Caenorhabditis elegans: one gene and its partner. The protein of the gene in region 2 interacts with the protein of the main gene of each other region in a biochemical or structural test. Each region holds a gene or a part of one and is shown on either strand. Other genes may lie near its edges. The genes, in order: mpk-1 and ddx-19.

Region 1 (4,913 bases), on a different chromosome or scaffold from region 2:
ATACAAAAGTATCAAAAATTCAAAACGACTGTTACCACCAAAACTGAAAAAAAACGATAAAAACCATGAAGTGCAACAACCGCCTTCATTTCTTCTTCTCCAAACGAAACATGAACAAACAGTAGCCAAATGGTTGGTTTTGTTAGGATTTCAGAGTGAGTGCCAGTAGACTTCCCTTGGCAAACAATGCGTGTGTTCTATTCTCAGCCATCTCCGGGGGGCAAACAGGGGGCGATTTTCGGATGAGACATCAAGGAGAAGCATCAACTAATGTAGACGTTGTGGTGCAAATACACTTAGAAGCCCTTTTTGGAGTAGAGAAAAAGGAAAAAAAGAAGAAAAGACGAGTTTCTCCATTTTTTGAGTTAAATGAGGCGAAGAGGAAGGGAAAAAAGTATTCAAATGACTGGATCTGCACCGATGAGCACAACACGTTAATGAAGTTCGAATAACGAATTAAAGGATATAGGATGCATGTCTTTTTAGTTCGACATAGAAAAAAGGAGTATACTTTTCTATTTTCCTTTTTGCAGTTGCGAACTATCATTTTTTGAGAGTAAATAAAATCTCGCGTCACTTTTTTCTTTTGCAAAATCTGAGATTCTCGCCCAAATCACAAATCCAGAGATTAAGAAAACGCGGAATTTTCGATGAAATGGAAAAGAGAAAAAAAAATCTCTCACAAATGAATTATTAGAGTTTGGAAAATTAATCGTTTTTATGTTACGATGAGATTTAATGCGGAATATGGAGCTAGCAAGTTCAATTCTGAAAGTCGCAAAGTAGAAAAGAACCTGCCGAAATTTTTTTGAAATCCATATAAAATTTTAATGAAAATCGATCTTTTGAACGAGCTCTTCTTGTCGTCCGCATTTCCATCTTAAATCTCAAATTTCGAAGCGTGTAATTCTACGCTTTTCTCTTCTTTCTAACGTCTTCAATTTCTTCATCTCCTCCTACTCATCATCTTCATCGACAAATAAACCAACGCGTACAATTACGGTTTTACGATTCCGAGGAGAAGAATGATGAGTGTTGCTCTTCTTTCATATCAAATTGGTTTTTTCTTCCATGCAGCTCTCCACGCAACAATAAAAACCGAACGAAAATGAGAGGAAATCCGACACAAAACACACCCAATTCCGAGGAAAATTGAAACATATGTGTTGTCGAATGAGTAAGAATTTTGAAAGAAGATTCAATTCGAGAAATAATGTCGGGAAATTCAGTTTGTCTCAGTTGCAAAAACTTCCGGGATATTGGAAACGTTCCGAGTGAGAATTTGGCCAATTGAACATATGAGTTTTATAATGTTCAATGCCTTTTTCAACTTATTTCCATGGTTTTTCAGATGTAAAATTCCAGATTTTCAGATTTCTGGTTCAGAATTGAATATCAGATTCTCAAATTTAAGGAAAAATTGGTAGTCGGAATTTTTGTTTTCATTTCCTGTTGAGTTCGCATTCATTCTATATAGAAGAAACTATAGATTCATCATGACAAAAAATGGTATTCAACAATTGTAACAGATGTATGAAGTTATTAGATAAAAAACTAATTAGTTTCTGAAAACTACTACTGAACACTTTAACTCCGGAAAAATTCAATTTCGATACTGTGAAACTACAATGAATCAATCTACATTCATTTTGAGAAACATAAATAATACACAAAGTACCTCACACCTCTGTCAGTCATTCACCCGGGTACACAACGGGATTTCAAAATAATAGTTTGTTGATGGAAAGCGGGTAGAAGATAGATCAACATCAATTATTAGTGTAAATCCTCGGGGTTCCCAAAGGAATACGTGTCAAAGTACAGTAAACTGTAGCTCAAGTCCGGAAAAAAGGAAAAATCTGGGTCATCTAGGCCAAACGCACGAAGAAAACTTCCGGAAGATGGATTCTTGTATTTGAACACTCCTTTTCGATTTTTCCTTGTTCGTTTAAAAGTTCTGATTTTCGGTTTGAAAAAAAAACATTGTTTTTCTCTCCAATCTCCGCTTGCACGCTGGAATGTCAATCAGACGACCAATTCAATTAATTCTATTAGATTTTAGATGTCTTAACTGGAAACTTTAGAAGAATGCAAATATATTCAATTTGGGGGACACTCAGATTACGGTAATTTGTAGTGGAACCTCGAAAATACAACTATTACCCAGTAGCGAAATTTTAGGATTTTTACGCCAAAAAATACGGTACCCAGTTTCGATTTTTTAAATAGTTTTTCTCATAATTAAAAAAAAACCTTTTTTTTAATTTGAGGTTAAAAAAAATTTTATCGAAAAATTTTGATGAAAATTACACAGCAAAGTTTAAAATTACAGTACTCTTTAAAGGCGCACACTTATTTGCATTTACCAAAAAATGTGTCGTTTCGAGACCGGGTATCGCATTTTGGGATACATACGAAATGTTCAAGTTGTGAACAGTTTTTTTCTACTAGCAGAAATTCAAATTTCGTTGAAAAACTACGATTCTAAGAGGTGTTCCGGTATAAACTAAATACGTCAATGAAGTGTCAATCTGCAAAAATCATCAAACCTTCAAGCTTAAAACACAAAGCACAATTTCTGGTTTAAAATTTGAATTTTTTCATTCAAATCAACCATTTTCATTGAGCTATTCAAACTTTCACACTTCCGTTTCTCTCTTTTCCAATTCAAAAACTACCAATCAACGTCACATCACTAATCTTTTCTTCCAGCACACACACACAGTACTCTGTCACGGTAGTCTTAATAGGCTAATAAAAGTACAAAGTTAGTGGTTTTGATGCAATACGCAACTTATTTTCCCGATAATGGGAGCACAATGGGCAAATCAACCCGATTACGTGCTATGTTCTGATTATTTGAACATTGTGCACTTTTTTGAAAACGTTTTGTGAATTTTGCAATTAAATTGAATGACTTAATTTTTTAATGTATTTTTACTTTCTAATTTAAATTCAATGTAGAAATTCAATGCAAAAATTTCAAATTTTCCAACTGACCAAAGAGCATTTTAATATTTTTCAGCTTCTAAAAATGCTTGTTTTTGTTTATTTTTCTCCAACTTTTTTTTTCATATTTTCTTATCATTCGTACCTTTCTATGTCCTGAACGAGTGTACTGCCATTTCTGTTGTCTGACGTGGTTGGTTGCTCCATTCGGTATGTTGCTCGAATTACGGTATGCCAATGATCCCGGAGCAGATTGTTGTTGTGTCGCTTGTGGATGCCCGTTCGATGGTGGTTTAGCATTTCTCGTTGTCGGCTGTGCGCACAAATTGTTAGGTATCCACGTTGGCATCATGTTTCGTGGTTCTGAAATTAAAGAATTATTAGTTTTATGAAGAAGAAGTTCTGGCAACGGATAAAAATATTTGAGAGTGTGAAATATTTCGTCGGAAAAGAAATTTCTGATATTGCAAAGGAACTTTTTTTGAAAATTCCCTCAATTTACCAAATTTAACTGTTAAAAAAAACTATAGATTTCTTTTTCTGAATTTTTAATGATTTTTTTCAATTTTGCAAAAATAAAAGAAACGGCTCCATGATTTTTTTTTTGATTTTTTTGTGAAGAAAACTTGACGACCTGAAATAAAATTTCGGAAACTTTAAAATCAGTTCAAAATTCGATTATTTAACTATTATTTCATTTTTTGTTTAAAAATGTATGAAAAGTGAAATTATAAAAATCCATGAATTTTGCCAGAAAGTGCAAAAATTCAAATTCCCTTCCGCCGATTTTGTATTTATATTTCAGCGAAATTGAATAAATCATTGAAAAATTAAACACTGTTTTTTTTTACAGATATATTCGGGACATAAGGCAAATTTTCGTATTTTCTAGCTCAATGGATACACTAAATAAAGGAAAAAAAATCGTATAGAACTTTTCCCGCAGTAAAAGTAAAACTGGCCAACTATGTAAAAACAGAAAATGCAGAAAATCTATTCGAAAGTTGTTTTTATGAATAAAAAGTCTATGAGTTTCTCCTCGTCAATTAATTAGCTTCGTCAGAAAATGCATAATATTGTTCCTGTTTTGAAGCCATTTATCTTTTGTATGGTTTCCCAAATCACTATGTTGAAGTAAAAAAGAGCAAAAATCATTTATGATGTCAGAGAAAGCTTTTTTCCGAACTTTAGAGACTCTAACTTGCAGTTTTTCAAAAAAAAAACTCCGAGTTTACTAGCAATTTCACTCCAAATTCTGCCTATTTTCCCTGTATTTTTTCATAACTCTCTCACCGCAGACCGATAATACAATCACCATTGTACACACACAACACTGTCTCATTCTTTTTGACCGCCCACCCAAAATGTTTAATATTTGTACGAGCGTTCTTCTTCATAATGCTGACTCATTTCATTTTCAACACTATTTTTCAGCTTTTTCTAACGAAATAATGACGGATTATGATGACTATGAAGACCGATCTGGTGTGGTAGAAGAAGAACTATTGGATTTTGATAGAGTACGTCTAGAATCAAATTTGGCAACAAATTTTCAAAATATTCAGGCAATGCTGGACTTTCAAGCTATGTTTCCCAGTCTAAGCAATTCACATATTGAATATGTTCTACGGAAATATGATGGAGATGTTTCAGCCACTATTAATGAGCTACTTTATGATAACGTATGTTAATTTTTTTGTTTATAGAAATTATTGCTTTACTACACGAGAAAGCACTGTCAGCGAGAATATTGTATCTCAATTGTTCAAATTTCGATCGATAAATTCCAAAAATAATTTCAGACGCCAACTACAACGACTTCTGAATCTATTCCACATGGAGGAGACTTAACAAAATTAAGGCAGCGAAGGCATGAAATAAACGAAAAACTGAGAGAAAATCAAAAATTTTTGGATACGGTTACAGATGTGGAAATTGCGAGGTAGAAAATAAAATTATTTATA
Region 2 (7,457 bases):
CTAAGTTTCACGGAAAAAATGGTTTTAAAATACAGAATAGTGTTAGCCTTGAAAAAGTCCAGTAGAAAATACAAAAAAAATGCAGAGAAACGTAAAAATCTGCTAAAATAAAGCAAAAAAACGAGAATTTCCTCGAAGATAAAATAAAATTGTGAGGACCTACAGTAGTACACCTTAAAGGTACACACTCGAAATTGTTCGGTCGCTGCGAGACCAGTCGCCATAAATTCGTAATGAGCCTATTTTCTAAATAGAAGAATTTCTGTATTTTTTTTAGCGATTTCGAAGAAATATTTCTATGGTTGTAACAATAGTACAGTCAAGATGTATGAGTCACATGAAAAAAACGGTGGAATTTTCGTTGCTAAAGCAAAAAAACGTAGTGGCTACTGGCACCGAATACAAAAATTAAATAAAAGGGTTCATTTTGGAAGAGTAATGAGTCAGTCTCGATGGACAACATTGTTTTATCAGTTGAAAAGGAGTGTAGATAAATCAATGGTCCCGTCCATTTTCTTCTGATAACAATTGAGTTTGCATTGTGGCCAGAAGTGACCTGTCATGAAGGAAGAAGGAAGAGAACAGGCCTCCCTCCTAACAAAGATGTGAACTTGCCATTGTTTATCTTCCATATCGACAAACAAACGGCAGCAACGAATTTGAATAATGCAGGAAACAATTAAAAGCGGGAAGACGAACAAAAAATGAATATGTAAACCCGGAACTCGGGCAAAAAAAGTTTATTTTGGAAATATTTATTCGGATTCAAATAACAAGATAAAGGCGAAAACGAAAACTCACAAACAATCAACTCTAATAGAATATCTAGAACCGTTTTTGTTTCTAAAGCCTTCTCCACACATTGTAACAAAAATGGAGAATTTTACGTACCAGAACTGAAATACAAAGGAGATGATGATGATGGTGAAGTGTTAAGTATCCGCTTGGTTAATAAAATAATGAGAATATAAAAAAAAATGGAAAAGAGTCAACAATGTCAAGGAAAGCAAAAATTCGGGGCAAACTGTATTTGATAAGTGAAAAAGTAGATTGGTATATGGGGGAGTGGGAAACACTGACCCGCAGTAAAACGTATGAAATGTTGTAGATTATGCCATTTCTATGGCTTCTAGCTCTACCAAATTCGATGGATCCATTCGAGCGATCTTCATCTCTGAAAATAATATTTTAGTCATTGCAAAAAAATGTATTACTCACGGAAATGATTTTCGAGCACATTAATCATGTTCATCGAGTCTTCTGAATCGATCAAATTAATGGCAATACCAGTCTTTCCAAATCTTCCAGTTCTTCCAATACGGTGGAGGTAAGTTTCACAATCAGGTTGAGTGAATCCATCCACCACCATCGGAGTTCCTTCATCGGTGTACTTGATCGGAAGATCGTAATTAATCACCACCGACACCTGCGCTACATCAATTCCACGAGCAAACACGTTCGTCGTGATCAGAACTTTGAAGTCGCCGCGCTTGAAATGGATGATCGTATCAGCTCTCTCGACAACAGTCATATCTCCATGTAAAACATCAACTTGATGTCCTCTTGCTCTCATGTTCTCATACAACCACATAACACTAGCCTTCGTGTGACAGAAAATGACGGATGAGGCGACAGCGAGTCCACTGTAAAGGTTGACGATAGCCTGTAAATTGCATTGGTTTATAGATAAGCATTTTTATAAAACTGAAATCTAACCGCATATTTCGAATCTCTACAGGCGCATTGAACGTAGAACTGCTTAATGTTCGGCAATGCTTGTTCTTCACGTTTCAACCTGAAAGTTTGTTTTGGTTTTGGATTTACGAGGAAGAGGACACAATGGTGCTTCAAGAGCGGACCACCCACTGAGTTGTTACAATATTAATGAAGACACGAGTAAATAAACCGTTCCAAGCTTACATTACGATTTGGAAAGGGAGTGCATCTGTGAAACTTACATTACTACAATTGCATTCTTGATGATTTTTGTTGCGAAATTGATCACTGGTTCGTCGTACGTGGCTGAGAACAACATTGATTGGACAGAATCTGAAGCATCTTCGACCATACTGAAAAAAAGACAAGTAAATTATTATGTTGGTAAACAGTATTTCATACTTATAGATTGTAGTTGAGATATCAGTGAATCCTTGATGATAAATCATCACATCAGCTTCGTCAAGTACCAAGCAACGGATCTTGCTCGGATCAATGCACTTGTACTTTTGAAGGTAGTCGCGAGTCTTAAATGAAATAGTTATTCATTAGTTATTTCATAAACTAGTCAACTCACGATCCCTGGAGTTCCAATAACAATTTGTTCAGTAAGCTTTCGTCCTCTCATTGCAGCCATATTTCCTCCTTTGATCGCGTAGTGAATTTTCAAATTATCAATGAATTTTCCCATCTTCTCAACAACTTCTCCGATCTGCTTGGCCAATTCAAGAGTCGGTGCCAAACAAATGCACTGGGGGCACATCAGATTGACATCAATCCTGCAGAGCATGGTGAGCACAAATGCAGCAGTTTTTCCGGTACCGGATTGGGCTTGAGCAATAAGGTTGGATGGTCTGAAAAATAACGATTATAATAAAACTTTGAGGATATTTTAGTTAGCATCAAAACTGTCGCTTTTTGGATAATTTATTTTTAAACTAAAATCCAAAATTGTTGGCCGACACCATTGGTTTTCCCCCGTAAAATAAATGTATGAAAGAACTTACGGCTCCATAAGAAGAAGTGGTAAAGCTGTTTCTTGAATTCTAGTTGGGAACTGGAAATTCATCGTGTCAAGAGCCTTGAGTACTTCGGGTTTTAAACGAAGTTCACGGAAGGATGAGATTGAGTACAAAGGAGATTTTGGGTCTTGTCTTTGCACGTCAACGACAACGTCTTTCATCATCTTCACCTCCTTTTGAATGAACTTATTTAGCAAAGCAATATCTGCTGGAACTGGAACTTGTTCATGAGCTTCTTCTGTTGCCGGTTTCGTGAACTTGTACTTCGAATCCTAAAATAAAAATAGATTTCGATCGCTTACAATGAAATAAATTACCGGTTTCACAAATTGTTGTGCAGCTTGGTGTCCACCGTACTGAGGTGGTGTATCTCTTGGTCGTGGAACAAAAGCTGGATTTTGTTGTCCTCTTCCACGTCCCATAGCTGAAAATAAACAATGAGACAGAAAACGTGAAATGAATATTCAATAAATACATTGTCCTTGACCGGGGGCGCCGAAATCCATTTGCCCTCCGCCTGATCCACGTCCTCCTCTACAAATAAATCATAATTATTGTTATCGAGGGGGTCTGCTATCACTACCTGTACGCTCCTTGGAATCCTCCTCTCATTGGTTGTGATTGTCCTGGCATGATTGGAACTAGAAAAATATGAATTAATTAATTTATTTAGGAAAACGGGAGAATTGGTTGTGGGGTCAAGCAATGATGTGCAAAATTAGACATGCGTGCAATAAAATCCACAAAACTAAGCATTACCTTTTTTGAAACCAAAATTGATAAATTGATAACTGTTAAAGAGAACGTGAAATTTCGTGGATTTTAATTACATCGTGTTTAGGTGAAACACAAAGGGTAGGTTAATATCAAGCAAACAAGCAAGTCTTACACCAAAAATCTGGCAAAAATATTATTATCATTTGATAACCCGGGATTTCCTGGAATTTGGTATCTATAAAATATTCTTATACCCAAAAACATACCACTCGAGTTCTTCATTTCATTTTCCTTGAACTCTGGTTTGGTAGAGCTTGAATTTCCGCCAAATGGATTCTTTTGAGCAGGTTCGGATTTTGAATTGAAATTCGCTCCATATGGTCTGACGGAGCTCGATGTTTCTTGTTCAGTATTCGGATTTCGTGTTTCTACGAAAGGCAGACGCCCAGACTCATTACCAACTGAGGTATTGACCGTTGGAGCAGTTGATCTACCGAAACCTCCACCGACGACATGCTTATTGGCAGGAAGTTCAGACGATGAAGCAGCAAAAGATGGTTTCGATCCGAAAGCACCGCCTGAGGTATTTGATGGGTTTCTTAAGATTTCTGGTGGTGATAGGCTTTCAACATCTGGAACTTTTGTGGACTTGTTTCCGAAAGATCCTCCCATCGAAGAACTTCCTGTGACGGATGTTGAAGCTCCGAAGGCACCACCAAATGACGGCTTCGATGAGAAACTAGACGGTTGGTTTCCAAAACTTCCTCCAGCTGAAGTAGAAGTTGGTTTTGCTGCAAAACAGCTTGAAGATGAAGAAAGTGCAGAAGAATTGCTAGAGATATTCTCGTTTGATGGTTTCGATCCAAAGCTAGCCACAGTTCTCGATTGGGATGCTGATGCCGAAGAGCTGTTGAAAGACCCTCCAGCCGAAGCGGAAGACTTGATTCCAAAACTTTCTTCTGAACGAATAGATGCTACAACTGTAGAGGAACCAAAACTTCCTCCGGTTGTCGCTGGTGACTTCATAGATGAACCAAATCCGCCACCAACCGATTTCATTACCGGAACTTTAGGCATATCGTTGCTGACAATATTCGGAGATTTCACTCCAAATCCTCCACCAACAGACGGAGCAACGCTCGATGATTGTGTTTTTGCACCGAATGCTCCACCTTGAGAGATTGATGCTCCAAAACGTCCTCCAGTGGATGTCTTTGGTGTAGAATCTTCAAGATTCGTAGAAGTTTGCGGAATCGATCCACTCAGCGTTCTCGGGGCTAAAACTCCAAAACGTCCTCCTTCATGGTTATTCTTAATTATTGCTGGTGGACAAGGTGCCATGCTGCGGTTAGTGCCAAAGCCTCCACCACGTTTACATGCAGGTTTTTCTTTGTGAATTCCAACAGAAATTATATTACCTCCTCCAATGAGTTCTTCTGCTGAACCAAGTGGTGCACCACGGCCATCCACCCCTGCTTGGCCTCCGAATGAACCTAAAATTGCGATAGGGAAGTTAATAGGAACAAAAGGATAAATGGACACAGTACAAGCATAACAGATATAAACACTTACCACCAACACGGGTTCCCGAAGTTGATCCGAATGAAGTTTGAGGTGGTGGAGCATTACTGGCTTTTGGTCCGCCGAACATGCCTCCTCGGCTAATTCCCCATCCATTTGATCCTGTAAAAATAACTGTTAGGAAAGAAGTTTCTCCGATGAATCTTACCTTTATTCTCTTCATTTTGATCCATTTCCGAGCCTGATTGCACCTTTTCGGTCTGAAAGAAATTAATATATTCCGTTCCGCTGAAAAAATGCACTCGGTTTCCACGCACACATACAGGGAAGAAGCATGAAAATTGTGCGAGGTAGAAGCAAAAAGCAATTGTACAGTGCAAGAGAAAAGAGCCGAAACTCTCGGAACACGGACGGACAAACAGACAAACAATCACGAACACACATAGACATTAACAAATCCGACCACCTTTTCTGGCACTTCAAGCCCTTCCGATCGACACTGCTCGTCGAATGCAATACCCCAATCAGCCATTTTCGATCTGTTATGAGAACTACGATAATTCATTGTTAGTATTCAGGACAAATTAAAGATCGGAACACGAAATTGAAAAGAAAACATGTTGAGGCGAAATTTGGGTCGACACATGAACCCGAGAAGGGAGAGATTGCAGAAAGAAGATAGTTCTTTGGTTCATCGACAGGGTAGGAAATAGTTATTCTAGAAGTGTTTTCTCTATTTTGCCATTGATAATGCATGTAAACACATTGTTTGGTCAGGGAAGTACAAAATCTATCTTCTTTTTAGGGCATTTTTCCACAAAATATATGAAATTTAACTTTAAAATGTATTTTAAACATTTGAAGTTATAAAAATGACGCACACATGAAAGATAAATAGAATAAACAAACAAAAAATTAGGATCGACGCCAATAAAAACATCTGAAATTGAGATGAGCAATTTCGAAAATGGGTACGGTTGACAGTACACCGTACACAGTAATGCACACAATGCACCAGATCATACGACAAACATATCTTAATATTTAAATTTAGGATTTTTAACTTGCAAGTATCATGATATTCTTGCTAATTGTTATTTTTTAAAGAAAATGATCACTCACCTGTCTACTGGAATGGCTTTGAACAACGCAAAAACACCGCATGACCATCAAAAAGAGTTACGCGACAAAACTTCAGAGATAATTTACCTTTCAACGAAATTAAATCACGCCAAAGAAACATGTGTGAATCTGGATAATGAACGTCAGAAGTTTCGAGAAGTTAGCCGAAAAATCAAAGAGGTTTGTCTGTAAAACAATAATGCAAACTGAATAACTTATTTTCAGAAGGATATTGATCCAGTTTGGATATACAATGGAACGTGCTTCCTTCAAACAAGCCAAGCAAATAGTTTGAATATTTTGGAGAAAGATACGAAAACTGTCGAAGAAGTTCGTGGACAGATTCAAGAAGTTATCAAGGTAAAATAAAAATATTAATTCGATAATTGAATTGTTTTTTTACAGAAAGACATGGACACATTTCTCAAACTACACAAGAAGCGAAATCTAGAAGAACGTGGTTTCGGTTTAAAGCCATTGCTCAAAGACGGAAAATTAACTGATTAAATTATGAAATATCTGAATACGGGTCAATGAATTGATATTAAAATACTTAAATTTGTATTGTTATCCTGTTCTTGTATATCCGAGTTTAATTTCTCGTCTCTTTATTTGAACTATTCGCGACTTTTTAAATCTTGTTAAATATTATTTTTAGATGTCCAGAGACGTCAAAGAATTTCTATATGCTTGGTTAGGAAAGAATAAGTATGGAAATCCGACGTACGATACAAAAAGTGAAACCAGGAGTGGTAGGCAGAGATTCAAATGCGAACTTCGGATCACAGGATTTGGCTACACTGCTTTCGGAAATTCCACAAACAAAAAGGTTCGTGCTACTTGGGAAATCAGTTTTTATCAAAAGTTTTCAGGATGCTGCTACCAATGCTGCTCAAGATTTCTGCCAATACCTAGTCAGAGAAGGAAAAATGCAACAGAGTGATATTCCGACTCTAACGTCTTCGAGTCTTGAAGCTTCTTCCACGTGGCAAGATTCTGAAACTGCTACAATGTTTTGTGGTGGAGAAGATGGCAACTCGTTCCAAGAGTCACAGCAACCAATTCCACAAAAAAGATTTCCTTGGAGTAACAATGCATATCAACGTAACGAGGGCACACATGAACAATATATTACACAGAAAGCAGAAGAAATTGCTGCATCGGAAACTGTTGATCTAAAATCAGAAATTCATGGAGGATGGACGATGGAGAATTCAAAGAAAGCGCTGAATGAGTTTCTTCAAAAAATGAGACTTCCACAGGTTAACTATGGAACCAAAATTCGAGAATCAAACACCGTTAAGTAAGTTTTTCATATTAGAAGAATTACTTCATTTTTTTCATACCAAAATATTTACA

Evidence for each region.
Region 1: of the proteins of ddx-19 (region 2) and mpk-1, one has a biochemical effect on the other in vitro, tested with the Caenorhabditis elegans proteins (one study listed by BioGRID).

The regions. Positions count from the first base shown.
Region 1 is NC_003281.10:4,224,797-4,229,709, forward strand, and holds the start of mpk-1 (Mitogen-activated protein kinase mpk-1), read right to left. Parts: upstream 3,299-4,913; coding exon 3,095-3,298; intron 1-3,094. Other genes in the region: F43C1.5 (uncharacterized protein), read left to right, coding at 4,401-4,469, 4,515-4,631, 4,752-4,891. UniProt on the Caenorhabditis elegans protein: Functions in let-60 Ras signaling pathway; acts downstream of lin-45 raf kinase, but before the lin-1 gene product in controlling vulval cell differentiation. Plays a negative role in proximal germline proliferation in the mitotic zone.
Region 2 is NC_003280.10:8,882,959-8,890,415, reverse strand, and holds ddx-19 (RNA helicase), read right to left. Parts: upstream 5,518-7,457; 5' UTR 5,509-5,517; coding exon 5,443-5,508; intron 5,237-5,442; coding exon 5,185-5,236; intron 5,139-5,184; coding exon 5,028-5,138; intron 4,949-5,027; coding exon 3,722-4,948; intron 3,380-3,721; coding exon 3,322-3,379; intron 3,273-3,321; coding exon 3,214-3,272; intron 3,163-3,213; coding exon 3,056-3,162; intron 3,011-3,055; coding exon 2,724-3,010; intron 2,571-2,723; coding exon 2,294-2,570; intron 2,244-2,293; coding exon 2,119-2,243; intron 2,070-2,118; coding exon 1,959-2,069; intron 1,796-1,958; coding exon 1,717-1,795; intron 1,664-1,716; coding exon 1,219-1,663; intron 1,175-1,218; coding exon 1,110-1,174; 3' UTR 716-1,109; downstream 1-715. Other genes in the region: T07D4.5 (P53 and DNA damage-regulated protein 1), read left to right, coding at 6,087-6,278, 6,324-6,458, 6,504-6,605; rha-1 (ATP-dependent RNA helicase A), read left to right, coding at 6,757-6,927, 6,971-7,401.